Linked DNA regions of Stegostoma tigrinum. Each later gene encodes a partner of the first gene's protein in a complex. Links are inferred from orthologs where the notes say so. Each region holds a gene or a part of one and is shown on either strand. Other genes may lie near its edges.

Evidence for each region.
Region 2: htatsf1 (region 1) and sf3a3 share a complex: the UniProt entries of both Homo sapiens proteins name them as parts of the 17S U2 SnRNP complex. The link is inferred for Stegostoma tigrinum from reciprocal best matches to the Homo sapiens genes HTATSF1 and SF3A3.

The regions. Positions count from the first base shown.
Region 1 is NC_081371.1:10,945,121-10,952,714, reverse strand, and holds the start of htatsf1 (HIV Tat-specific factor 1), read right to left. Parts: upstream 3,007-7,594; 5' UTR 2,900-3,006; coding exon 2,735-2,899; intron 1,773-2,734; coding exon 1,580-1,772; intron 1-1,579. UniProt on the Homo sapiens protein: Component of the 17S U2 SnRNP complex of the spliceosome, a large ribonucleoprotein complex that removes introns from transcribed pre-mRNAs.
Region 2 is NC_081377.1:18,061,832-18,068,931, reverse strand, and holds the start of sf3a3 (splicing factor 3A subunit 3), read left to right. Parts: upstream 1-4,086; 5' UTR 4,087-4,155; coding exon 4,156-4,251; intron 4,252-7,100. UniProt on the Homo sapiens protein: Component of the 17S U2 SnRNP complex of the spliceosome, a large ribonucleoprotein complex that removes introns from transcribed pre-mRNAs.

The DNA.
Region 1 (7,594 bases):
AACACACAGTTCTTCAAGTATTAATTCAGCATCTTTACAAATGTCAGAATCATTTACTTTGGAACTTGGGTGAAATAAATTATTAAAGTTGGTGAGACCAAGATTTGTCATGTTACATGAGTTGCAGCATTAAAACCAAAAATTTTGCCTTTTACTTTTCAAATTATTTATCTGTGAGAAAATTGCATCATTCCATTATCAGAAATATGACATGCGGACAATACTTTCTGATTGTCATTTTTCAGAGGTTGTTCAATTACATTTGTATCCATCTCAAGAGACAAGTTAAAGACAGCAATACAAGATTGACAAGTCAGCCTCAAAAATGATTTAATAAAACTGTTGCCAATGTCAAATCAAATTACAAGGAGATGCTCCAGTAGATTTGTTTGAACTGTTATCACTAATGCCAACATTGTGATTATTGGAATTAAAATTCAATAATCCATCAAGAACAAAGGAAAGACCATGCAGTCAACATAGCAATTTGCACAATTGAATCATTGAGATCTACAGCACAGGGAAGGCATGATCAAAATCAACCACCTACCTATTCTAATAGGCTTATGAAGGGTCTTTATGCCTTGGCACCACAAGTTTACTTTTAAATACTTCTTAGCATGTTACAAGGGGCTCTGCCTCTACCACTCTTAGCAGTGTGTTCCAAGTTCCACAGACTCTTGTTAGGTACATACACGTGTTTGCACATTGGTCAATTTGCAGTTTCTTCATGTACAAAGTACAAGCATTTCACTGTAGTGTCATAAACAATATTTGATATTGCCACATTGACAGGTATTAGGGCAAACGAATTTGAAGGAACATCTTTAAAAAAGGAGAAAACAGAGTCGGACAGGTTTAGGCAAGGAATTCCAAAGCTCTGGGCCTTGTTGGCTGAAGTCACAGGGATGTTCCAAAGGCCAGAATTAAATGACTGCAGATATATCAGAGGGTTGAGAGCTCGAAGTAGATTTAAGACATAGCTGGGGGACACGGCTATGGATGCATATGAAAATGTGCAAGAGATTTCTTAAAAGAAAAATCAAGACAGGGAAGCCATACCAGTCAGTATGTATGCAATCATTTCATTTCGGGGTCAAATTTACAACCAAAGGTGTAAACAGTGTGATTAAGCCTCAAACTGTTGCCAAGGGGAGGGATAATGCTTATGTCTTGAATTACTGTTGGTCATATTGTATACTAAATTATTTTACGAATAATCAACTTTGCATTTTAAATAACATTTTAGACAACTTTGTGTTTTACACAATTAACGCTGCCAGGTTACATTCACTACCGTTCCTGAAGATGAGACTGGCTGAGAATGAAAAAAACACCAGAGAAAATACATGAGTAACAGTAAAATTTGAGTGTGACTTCGGTAAAGTCTCAAAGCAAATCAGCGACAAATGACCAGGGCTCATCAACAAAATCAACGCAATAGTGAACTGATCTATATCCACACAGCACGGACCAGTGATCTACTCATGTGCCTGTCTAGTCCTTTAAATAAATCTAGTTTTCAAATCTGAAATAATATCCAAAAGTGCTAGAATGACAGGAAGAAAAATAGCATCACCGATGTCCACTTTTCTTTTCTCTCCTTTTTGCTTTGTTTCTTTAGGATCCCCTTGAGCTGCATTATCTCCTGAAGACTTTTGCAGAATGGCTGCTGTCTTCTGGGTTTCAGTGGTGGAATTGCCACTGTTCTCAGGGTCCTCTTCAACGTAACCGTAGTTTGCATGATATGTTGCAAGAAAATCTTCAGTGATCTGGAAACAATTGTTACGACAGGATGTGTACGACAAGTAGTTGAAAACTGTCAACGAGTTTAGAGCGGTTCTGGGTGGGTACACAAATAGGAAGGGTTTGGAGGGATATGGGTCGGGATGTGTGTGCGTGGAGATGGTACCAAGAATGTGCGAATAGCAAGGTCACGTAAGCTAGGTGGAAATGGAGGGTGTGGAAATGGAGAGTGTGGGCAGGGAGGGTGGGTGCAGACTTTGGCAGTGAATGACCTGGAAAAAGGTAGTAGGAACTGCAGATGCTGGAGAATCTGAGATAACAAGGTGTAGGAAGACTGATGTTTCGGGTCTAGGCCTGAAACGTCAGCCATCCTGCTCCTCTGATTCTGCTTAGCCTGCTGTGTTGATCCAGCTCCGTACCATGTTATCTCATATTATCAATGACCTGGAAAGGCAGGAATGGGTTCAAAAATCTGAAAGGTTCAGGTTTAGGGTGAAAGACCTGGGGGGGGCGGGGGGGGAAGAGACTGGGGTTGAAAGACCTGGAAAGGGGGGGGGTTGGTGATGGGGGGAGGTGAAACTGGGGTTGAAAGACCTGAAAGGGGGGGGGGGGGCGTGGGGTCTCGGGTTGAAAGACCTCGAACCGGGGGTGGGGGGGGGGGAAGAGAGAGAGAGAAGAACTGTGGTTGAAAAACTTGGAATGGGGGGGGGAACTGGGGTTGAAAGACCTGGAAAGGGGAGGGGGGTGGGATTGGATTAGGGTTGACCAAACTGGAAGGGTGGGGGATTGAAAGACATGGAAAAGGGGGCAAGGGTGGGATGGGGGAAAATTGGGGTTGAAAGGCCTGGGGGGGGGGGGGGGGTCAAGGACCTGGCGAAAATATGGTGGTGGTGGCGGGGGGAGAGAATTGGCTCAGGGCCGGGAGTGCGGCCTGCAGAGGGGTCATGGGGGTGGGCAGTGTTCCGCCCAGTCCCACCCCCGGCCGTACCTTGGGGAACCAGGCTTTCCTCTCCCAGTCCCACTCGAACTCGGTGCCCTCCGCGTCCACGAAAGTGCTCGTGCGGCCCCACGCCTCCTCGGCCTCTCCGCCCTCCAGCAGCCGCTGCAGCCGCAGCTGCTCGTGGAAATCGGCGTTCGCCTCCTCACCGCTCATCCTCCGGGCCCGAAAATTAAACACCAATCGGCCCAAAAATAAACGCGGTCAGCCGCCACTCTCTTAAAGTCGCCTTAAAGCACCTCGATACGCAGACTCGCCGAACTCTGACCTTCAGCTCCCTGTTTGAGATGTCATTTCCGGGAGCTGGCAGGGCCTGTGTCACGTGGTTTTGGTGGAGGAGATGCTGATGGCTCAGGTACAGGTTTATGTATGGTCTACATCAACCTGTTAAGGGATAGAGGCATGGAGCTGTACTGTAAGGAAACAGACCATTCGGCCCAACTTGTCCATGCTAACAAAACATGCTAAATTAGTCTAGTCCTATTTGGCCCATCTCCCTCTAAACTCTTGCTATTCATATACCCATCCTGATGCCTTTTAAATGTTGTAATTGTATCGGCCTCTGCCACTTCTTCTGACAGCTCATTCTATACACACATCACCCCCTGCGTGAAAATGTTGCTCCTTAGGTCCCTTTCATATCTTTCCCTTCTCACCTTAAGCCAATGCTGGCTAGTTTTGGAATCTCCCCACCCCAGGAGAAAAAGCCCTTGCCTATTTATCCTATCCATGCCCCTCATGATTTTATAAACATTGATAAGGTCACTCCTCGGCCACCATGCTCCTGGGAAAATAAGCCCACCCTACTCAACTTCTTCCTAAAGCTCAAACCCTCCAACCCTGGCAACATCCTTGTAAATCATTGCTGAACCCTTTCAAGTTTCACAGCATTCTTCCTATTAGCAGGGAGGCCAGAATTGCATACAGTATTCCAGTAGTGGCCTAGCCAATGTACAGCCGCAACATGACATCCCAACACCTATACTCAATGCATTGACAAATTAAGGCAAGCATACCAAATGCCTTCTTCACTATCCTATTTAGCTGTGCCTCCACATTCAAGGAACTATGAATCTGCCCTCCAAGGTCTCTTTAGCAACACTCCCCAGGACCTTACCATTAAATGTATAATTCCTGCTCTGATTTGCCTTTTGATCATGCAGCACCTCACATTTATCTAAATTACACTCTATTTGCCGATCCTCATCCCATTGACCCATCTGATCAAGATGCAATCGTACTCCGAGGCAACCTTCTTTGGTATTCACAACACCTGCAATTTTAGTACTTTAAACTTTAGCAGATGCAATTACAAATTATGAGGCTATGCTGGCCAAAATGCATTTGGAAGACAGATTAAAAAGGTGATGCAATAGAAGAACAATGACAGACACTTAAGCAAATATAACTTCAATGAAGATAGGATCACTTCTCAATAGAATATATGAGATAGCAAAGGAAGTTAAAGATAGTTATTATATTGAAAGAGGAAAGCGTACAATCCTGTGACGATTAGTTGAGGTAGATCAGAAAATTGGACAGATTTTAGAAAACAGCAAAAAATGATTGAGAAATAAAGAAATTAGAATCTAAATGTAACTAGCTAGGACCTCAATATCTAGAGGGTCCCAGGACTGTGAATATACTGGATCACCACCTGCATGTTACTTCCATGTCACTCACTGTCCAGATTTGGAAATATATGGCTGTTTCTTTTGGGTTGCTAGGTCAAAATCCGAAAACTCCACCCCTAAAAGCATTGTGAGGGTACCTGCAGTAAATAGACTGAAGCAGTTCACAGCATCTTATCAATGGCAACAAAGGGTGGGCAATAAATGGTTAGTGATGATTGCGTAAAATAAGAGGGCATGGAGAAGGGATGAAGATAACAGTTTAGGAGTTTGCTGACAAGAAGTAAACAGGAATAAATAAATAATTTTTGGGTTGGCAAAATGTGAGCAGCAGGATGCCACTGGATTCAGTTCTGAGGCACAACTATTTACAATCCACATCAATATATCAATGATTTAAATGAAAGGACTGAATACGTGATTGTCAAATTTGCCAATAACACAAAGATATACAGAAGAGTAAGTTATCAAGAGGAGATAAGCTGTTGTAATGTCATAAGATGTTGGAGCAGAATTCAGCCATTCGGTCCAACGGGTCTGTTCCACATTCGATCATAACCAATTAGTTTCTCAACCCTCTTCTCCCTTTAACCCTTAATCCCCTTATCAATCAAGAACCTGTCTTAAATGGCCTCAATAACTTGATCTCTGCAGCCATACGCAGCAAGAGTTTAACAGGTTAACCATCCTGTAGCTGAAAAAATCCATCTTTCTTTCAGTTCTAAATGGTCATTCCTTCATTCTGAAGTTCTGTGCTTTCAGGTCTTCGTTTCTCCTACTAGCGGAAACATCTTCTCCATGTCCACTCTATCCAGGACTCTCAGTACTCTGTAAGTTTCAATCAGTTCCTTTGTCCAGCTTGTTAATATATAACATGAATAGTTGTGGTCCCAACACGGACCTCTACAGAACTCCATTTGTCACTGGCTGCCATTCTAAGAAAAAATTCCTTTATCCCTACTCTCTGATATCTACCAGACAGCCAATCTTCTATGCATACCACGACTTTGCTCTTAGCACCGCATACTCTAATTTAGCCATCTGCAAAGGGAATTAGGTTTAATGAGTGGGTAAAAATTTGGCTGATCTCATATAACGTGGGACAATGTAAATTTGTCCACTTTGGCAGGAAGAATAGAAAAGCTGACTATTATTTGAATGGAGAGAGATCCTTCTATGGTGCAGAGGACTCTTAACATCCTGACACATAAAACACAGAAAACTAGTATCTGGGTAGAGCAAGTCATGAAGAAAAAAATGGAATGTTTGCATTTAATGCAAGTACACAGTTAAAGAAATCAAATGGCTTGTGGCACAATAGCAGTGGCCCTACCATTTAACCTGGAGGCTTGGGTTCAACTCCCACCTGCTCCAGATGTGTGTCATAACACATCTGAATAAATTAGTTAAAAATATCTACAATCACATAAGTAGAGATGTGTTACTGCAGTTGTGCTGGGACCACATATGGGGTACTATGTACAGTTTTGATCTCCTTACTCAAGGAAGCATTGTTTTGCATTAGAAGCATCTCTGAAAAGCTTCACTTGACTTATTCCTGTGGTGAAGAGGTTATCTTCTGAGGAAAGATTGAAAAGGTTGGTGCTTTAGGAGAATGAATGGTGATCTTATTGAAATATATATGATCTTGAGAGACTGTATAGAGGGCAGACATTGAGAGCATGTTTCCACTTGTAGGGGAGTGTGGAACTAGGGGAAAGAGTTTAAAAATGAGGTGTCTTCCATTTAAGGCTAAGAGGAGGAGAAACGTTTTCCCTCGAAGGATCACTGGTCTTTGGAATTTTCCTACCCAGGGAATAGTAGAGGCTGAGAAAATTTAAGTTGGATTTAGAGAGTCCACAGTGAGGGAGGATGAACGGGAAAGCAGGGTTAGGGCCACAGTCAGATTAATCATGATCAAATTGCATGGTGGAACAGCCCTGAGCTGCCGTACTGTCTACTGTTGCTTCTAATTCTGGTGTGGAATAGGGACAAGGGCACCGAACACTTGACAGTGCACGTGACACTTCTACCACCCTGCAAAATGGGACCAAGTCTGATGGTGCACAGCAAGGCAGCAGGCAGGGTGTGCAACAAAACAGAAGATGCTGGAAAAGCTCAGCAGGTCTGGCAGCATCTGTGAGTTCACATTTCGGGTCCGGTGATCCTTCCTCGGAACAGGGCAGGCAGTGAACTTCATGTTATAAAGCAGATGTTCACCTGCACATCTGCCAATGTGGTATACTGTATCCATTGTACCCGGTGTGGCTTCCTCTACATTGGGGAAACCAAGCGGAGGCTTGGGGACCGCTTTGCAGAACACCTCCGCTCGATTCGCAATAAACAACTGCACCTCCCTGTCGCGAACCATTTCCACTCCCCCTCCCATTCCCCAGACGACATGTCCATCATGGGCCTCCTGCAGTGCCACAATGATGCCACCCGAAGGTTGTAGGAACAGCAACTCATATTCCGCTTGGGAACCCTGCAGCCCAATGGTATCAATGTGGACTTCACAAGCTTCAAAATCTCCCCTTCCCCCACTGCATCCCAAAACCAGCCCAGCTCGTCCCCTCCCCCACCGCAACCCAAAACCAGCCCAGCCTGTCTCCGCTTCCCTAACCTGTTCTTCCTCTCACCCATCCCTTCCTCCCACCCCAAGCCACGCCTCCATTTCCTACCTACTAACCTCATCCCACCTCCTTGACCTGTCCGTCTTCCCTGAACTGACCTATCCCCTCCCTACCTCCCCACCTATACTCTCCTCTCCACCTATCTTCTTTTCTCTCCGTCTTCGGTCCGCCTCCCCCTCTCTCCCTATTTATTCCAGAACCCTCTCCCCATCCCCCTCTCTGATGAAGGGTGTAGGCCCGAAACGTCAGCTTTTGTGCTCCTGAGATGCTGCTTGGCCTGCTGTGTTTGTCCAGCTTCACACTTTGTTATCTTTCATTTTATAAGTATTCTGTTTCAGTCAAAGGGAAGATGGGGAACAGGGGGTCGGGTTGGCTTTACAATCCATCCTCACGTTGTAGCTGACCTTCACTTGTTAAAAGTGGACTGTCCCTTTTAAAATAGAAGAAATAAGAACTGAAATGACTTTGGAATGCATAAGGTAAAAAGCAAAGATCTGAGTATCTAGAGCAAAGATCTATTATCTGGGTAGAGAAAGTCTTGAGGAAAGAAATGGAATGTTGGCATTTAATGCAAGTACACAATTAAA
Region 2 (7,100 bases), on another chromosome or scaffold:
TTTCACTGTAACACTGCACATTTTTCCTTTTTAGTTAGCCCAACAGCCTTCTAAGTGCTCCTACAAAATTGATCTCCACCATGCTGTTTGGCATGCTGTTTAAAAAAAGAAGTTAGGTGCTAATTAAATCAACAATGTAAAGAAAGGTTTTACTCCTTGGCTTCCTATATTCATCCATCCACGTATTAATTTGCGTCCAGCAGTTGCAAACACGCGAGGCGAGACCAGTTTTATCCAAAAGATGCTCATCCATTGGGAGCTGAATCAAGACTGTAGCCTAGAACTTTTTCTAGTAAGAAATTTAAGAACTCTTATGATGGTGGAAATGATTACTGGACTTGGACCCAAGAGACTGGCCTAACATCCTCTGGCAGCAGTTCTCCAGCTCAAGTATTTGTGAAGGTAAAACCGAAGCTGAGCTCAGTACTCACCATCCATAAGGCACCTTTTGTGCCATCTAGTGGTCATTGAATGATTAACCCAAACACTGGATGGGATAAGAAGCACTGTTGAAGCAACGAGCCCCAAGTGTTGGACTCACTGAAAGTTCAAATGAAGAATTTATATGAACTTATAATTCTTTGATAGAAATTTCTGGAAGTGCTGAGGTCTTCCAGCACTTTCTGCTTCCACCACAAAAAAACTGGAAGCACTCGCTTTTCCAATTGGTCTCTTTATGAGGGTGTCACCTGTTAATACCAGACTATGCAGGCAAAAGCTGACACCTGAACGCTTCTTGTAATGTACTTGTAGCATCCCTACCTTTGAGCTAGGAGGCCTAGGTTCAAGTCACACCTGCTCTAGAGTTGTCTAATAATATCTTTGGCCAGGTTTGGTTAGAAAATATAAAAACAACTACCTCCTGTACTAATACAGTGTGGAGCTGGAGGAACACATCAGGCCGGGTAGCATCAGAGGAGCAGGGAGGCTGACATAGGCTTTTCTGAAGAAGTGTCCTGACCCGTAACATCAGCTTTCCTACTCCTCTGATTCTGCCCGTCCTGCTGTGTTCCTCCAGCTCCACATTGTGTTGCCTATGACATTGGCAGTTCTTATTATCTCTGACTCCTGTATTTCCTTATTTAGACATACTTTCCAAACCTGAAGGAAATTATATTCATCCTTAATATTAAAATCATGCAAATTAAAATTAACATTACACACAGATTTTGAGTTATGTTGAAGTGCATCTTAAATTTGATGTTAAGGTACAATGACAGAAGAAATCATTGACACAGACACAAAGCAAAAATTAAAGTAACTGGTGGAATAAAATTCTGACATCCCTTAAAAATTAAAAATAGGCAGATTGGGAAGCAATTCTTCTCTCAAAGTGCAATGAAACTTTGGAACTATTGCTGCCAAAAAGCTGGCTAAGGAGTGGGGTTGGGACGGCCACAGGGTAAACTGGATGCTTGCCTTGGGCAGCATGATTTGGGGAGCTGCAAAAAAAACCCTGCGAGCTTTTTAAATAATTTTGAACTGAAACGCATAATTTTATACAACTTGGTTTCATTGTTGTTGTTTCCTGGGTCAAACACCAGTGCCATTATGATAGGACCTGACAGCTGCCCCGTAATTTAGCTCAGATTATGTTACCACAAAGGTTGGGTTCTTATTGGGACAGATATATTGAAGTTTATTCACAATATTTATTATTTACATAGCTGTAATATTATAAACATAGAAACTGCACAGGTTCTGTACTTTCTGATATTAGCCCATATGTTATACAGATGACAAATTGGCTGAACATACAACCCTGACTCCATGACACAGAAGTAACTGGTAGGTACTGGGACATCATGTATTTGAATGATGTGATGCTTGAAGGCGCACAACATGCCTTGGCCTGGAATCTATGCAATACCAAAACATCGCAATTCACACCCTTGTCTGCAGGGAAAGAACCTGCAATTGCCATCATCTTCCAGCATTACCATATGTTGATATCACATCCAATGTAACATCACCCAATCAAATTCAAACATCTTTAAACATACCATAAAAGCTAAGAGAACAGTGATTGGCTAGGATTCTGGTAGGTTGTGATGTGATTGATGGTGTTTTGAATTTCATTGAGGGGTTGGGTTAGTGTTTTGCAATGGATGTGAGAGGGGATTCATATCATTTTAATCTTTGTTGGGTCAGGGTTTGTTTTTAAGATTTACTGCAGATGGTCTTGCATTATTTTGACTGCGACTAGAAGTTAAACAGCAGAGCTTTAACCAACAGCCAATTCATTGCCTGGGTGTGTCATGTTAGTGATAAATTGACCAATGATAGTTCACTTGTCAAGAGTGACTGGCTCTGAGTGTTGGTCCATCCAAAATAGGAAAACACATTATCACTTATGAAGCAATTCAACTGACCTCTGTGTGTGTGTGTGTGTGTGTGTGTGTGTGTGTGTGTGTGTGTGTGTGTAGTACACACACTACAGCAGACTAATAGATGGGTAAATTTGCCGTATGGTACATTGGTAGAGGAGCGGGTCTGGTGGTTACATAGTCCACCAGAGCTGGAGTGGTGTGGGTGCTGACAAGGCCATAACGGTGTGTGGAGGTGGTTAGCTGCTGTCACAGCTGGTCCAAACTTTGAGTCCCCCACCACCGACGCACCTGAGCAGGGAAGGTACATGTACACATTGGATAAACAAAAAAAAAGCTATAGTGTACTCTGTACTGTGGAATAGTGCTACTTTGAGAAGGTCAGACCCTCGATATGCAAAACTGGGACATGGCATATACAGTTAATGGTAGGACGCTGTAGAGTGTTGCCAAACAAAGAGACCTCGGGGTATCGGTGCATTGTTCCTTGAAAGTGGAGTTGCAGGTGGACAGGGTAGTGAGGAAAGCATTTTGTATGCTTGCTTTCATTGGTCAGAGCATTTAGTGTATGAGTTGGGGTGTCATCCAGCAGCTGTACAGGACATTGGTGAAACCACTTTTGGAATACTGCTTACAATTCCGCTCACCTGTTTATGCAGCATGATTTTGTTAAACATGAGAGGGTGTAAAAAATATTTACAAGGATTTTGCATGGACAGGGGGTTTTGAGTTACAGAGAGAGGTTGAATAAGCAGGGGCTGGACTCTTTTCCCTGGAGTGGTGGAGACTAAGGGGTGACCATATAGAGGTTTATAAAATCATGCAGGGCCTGGATAGGGTGAATAGCCAAGGTTGTTTCCTGGGGCAGGGGGAGGGAGTCATGCAAAAGTAGCGGGCATAGTTTTTAAAGTGAGAGGGCAAAGATTTAAACAAAGATCTGAGGGGTAGCTTTACCATCGGTGTTGCATGAATGGAATGAGCTGCCAGAGGACATGGTGGAGGCAGGTACAATTACAACAGTTCAAAGGCATCTGGACGGTATTTGAATAGGAAGTGTTTAGAGAAATACGGGCCAAATAGTGGCAAATGGCATGAGATTAATTTAGGATATCTGGCTGGCATTGTTTGTTTCTGTGCTATATATCTCTACAACTCTACGTGGGACAAAGTCTTGGGTGAGCTCTGAACAGTGAGAGCAGAAAGCATAGTCACAGTCACTAATGTACTGCAATGGAGGCAGGAGTTGTGAACGAACCTGATTGCAACAAAGAATGTTCCGACTATTGACCAAGTTAATGCAGATATTTCATGAAGTCAACACTCCAGCCTCCGTGGACTGTGCTGTGAGCAAACCAGGATAAAACTCGCAGAAACATCAACATGAAGTAGAAACATGTTTCCTTGAACACTCCTGTGTAACTTAGTTGTGAAACATGTTGTGCGAATCTCACTGAGTTGGGAACTGCTGTCACTTTGGACAAAGCTGATAGACCCAGATGGGTTTCCCACAGCAACTCATTTTATTTGCTGAACAAGAAACAGAAATCACGGGAATGGTGGGATACATTTCCAACAAGGGAAACAAATCGACGTAAAAACACAAACAAATGAACGCAACAGTAAAATATATTGGCAGAAATGAAGCGTTTTCACGGTTGTTTTGCCTCTCTTTTGGGGGGGGGGGGAACGTTTCTCCAGCGGTCGCTGACGGCGGAGGCAGGAACGTGAACACCCCGAATTCCGGAAGGCAAGTCACGTCACGTCCGGCGGTCTGTCCAATCCGGGAGCGGGTCCGTCAGTTTCAGCACGGTCGTCGTGTCCCGCCGCAATGGAGACCATTCTGGAGCAGCAGCGCCGTTACCATGAGGAGAAGGAGCGGCTGATGGATGTGATGGTGAAGGAGATGATGGTGAAGAAGTCCACGGTGAGCGGGGGAGGGCGGTTGTGTTCAGGTTTTCGGCTGCTTCCTCTCCTCCCCCGGGAGGCCGGGCCCCTCAGCCTCGCTGTAGGAAACCCCTGCCCCTCCACCCCCCGGGGGCCCGGGGTCGTACACAGAAAAGCTCATAGTTTTTAAAAAGGGCATCTCAGACTGTTAGACCGTGAAATGTATCGGTGGAATAAGGCCATTCAGCCCCTCGAATCCACCCATCACTCAATGAACACAAAAGCTGGCGATTACAGTGGGTCAGGCAGCATCCACCCACGCCCCTCCACCTCCTCCCGAACTTCCAGTTCCCCGGTCCCCCACATCTCATTTTCACCGTGGACGTCCAGTCCCTATACACCTCCATTCCCGTACAGATGGCCGAAAGGCCCTCGGCTTCTTCCTGTCCCGCAGATCCGACCAGTCCCCCTCCACTGACACCCTCATCCGCTTATCCGAACTCATCCTAACCTTCAACAACTCTTTCAATTCCTCCCACTTCCTGCAGACAAAGGGGATGGCCATGGGTACCTGCATGGGCCCAAGCTATGCCTGCCTCTTTGTACGTTACGTGTAACAATCCCTCTTCCGTAACTACACTGGCCCTAAACCTAATCCCTTCCTCCGTTAAACTGATGACCATATCGGCACCGCCTCCTGCTCCCACGAGGAGCTCGAACAGTTCATCCACTTCAACATCTTCCAGCCCAACCTTAGGTTCACCTGGATCATCTCTAACACCTCTCTCTCTCCTTTCTGACTCCTCTGTCTCCATCTCAGGCAACCACCTCAAAACCAAGATCTGTTTCAAGCCCACATACTCCCACAGCTACGTAGAATACACCCCCTCCCACCCACCTTCCTGCAAAAATGCCAAAGCCATTCTCAATTCCTTTGCCTCCTCCACATCTGCTCCCAGGATGAGGCATTCCACACCTGTACATCTCAGATGTCCTAATTTTTCAAGGACTGCAAACCCCTGTAGTGGTCAAGAATGCCCTCAACCATGTGTCCCGCATTTCATACAACTCATCCCTCACTTCCCACAACTCATCCCTCACACCCCGTCCCCGCAATAATCACCAAAAGAGAATCCCCCTTGTCCTCATGTACCATCCCTCCAACCTCCAGATACAACGCATCAACCTCCGACACTTCTGCCATCTGCCAAAGACCACCTCACCACCAAATTCATTTTTCTCTCCCTACCCTTGTCTACTTTCCAGAGGGATCACTCTCTCTGTGACTCCCTTGTCCGCTCCACACTCCCGTCCAACCCCACCACACCCAGCACTTTTCCCTGCAACCACAGGAAGTGCTACGCCTGCCCCCATCCCTCCTCCCTCACCCCCATCCCAGGTCCCAAGAAGACTTTCCACATCAAGCAGATGTTCACCTGCACATCTGCCAATGTGCTATATTGTATCCAGTGGACCCGGTGTGGCCTCTGCCACATCGGGGAAACCAGGCGGAGACTTGAGGACCAATTTGCAGAATACCTCCACTCGGTTAGCAATAAACAACTGCACCTCCCAGTCATGAACTATTTCACCTCCCCCTCCCGTTCCTTAGACGACATGTCCATCCTGGGCCTCCTGCAGTCCCACATCGATGCCACCTGAAGGTTGCAGGAACAGCAACTCTTGGGAACCTTGCAGCCCAATGCTATCAATGTGGATTCACAAAAAACTAACTGCAACTAACCCCTACTGCATCCCAAAACCAGCCCAGTTCATCCCCGCCTCCCTAACCTGTTCTTCCTCCCACCTATCCCCCGCCTCCCACCTCAAGCCCCACCTCCATTTCCTTCCTACTAACCTCATCCCGCCCCCTTGACCTGTCTGTCCTCCTCAGACTGACCTATCACCTCCCCACCTCTACTGGCTCCATCCCCGCCTCTTTAACTTGTCAGTCTCCTCTCCACCTATCTTCTCCTCTGTCCAACTTCGATCCACCTCCCCCTCTCTCCCTATTTATTTCAGAACCCTCTCCCCCTCTCCCATTTCTGATGAAGGGTCTAGGCCTGAAATGTCAGCTTTTGTGCTCCTAAGATGCTGCTTGGCCTGCTGTGTTCGTCCAGCTCTACACTTTGTTATCCGTGGAATTGCGCACATGCTAACATTTCATGTCCAGATGACTCCTTGATCCCCAGCACTTGTTTTTAGTACAGACTCCAACATCTGCAGTAATTTGCTCCATCACTCTGTGAGATCGTTATCTGACAGTCCATTTCCCTGCCATACTCGATAAACTCCTTATCTCGTGCTGGTCAGAAATCTCTCCAACCTGGCCTGAAATGGATGTTGTAGTGCGGGGAATCCAGGCCAAGTGCTTCAAAGAAATAAACAGGAATTGCTGGAGGAACTCGGCAGGTCTTGCGGCATCTGTGCAGAGAACTGAAAGAACTGTGGACCTGTAAATCAGGAACAAAAACAGAAGTTGCTGGTAAAGCTCAGCAGGTTTGGCAGCATCTGTGAAGATAAAAGTCAGAGTTAATGTTTAGGGTCTGGTGACCCTTCCTCGGAATTGGAAGGGTCACCAGAACTGAAACGCGAACTCTAGTTTTTTGTTTCTTCGTAAGTGCTGCCAGATCTGCTGAGCTTTTCCAGCAATTTATGTTTATGGAGAGAAGTTATGAAGAACAGACACTGGACTCAAAGCTGTGACTATTTCTCTGTCGACCATTGCTGCAAGGCTAACTGAGTTTTTCCAGCATTTTTTTCCAGATTTTTAGCCATTCTTTGTTTTGTTCAGGTGTTTAAAATCTTTGGTTGATTCATTGGACTCAGTGTCATTCCTGAATTCATGTCCATATTGTCCATGTTTTCATTTTTGGAATACGAGTTTGA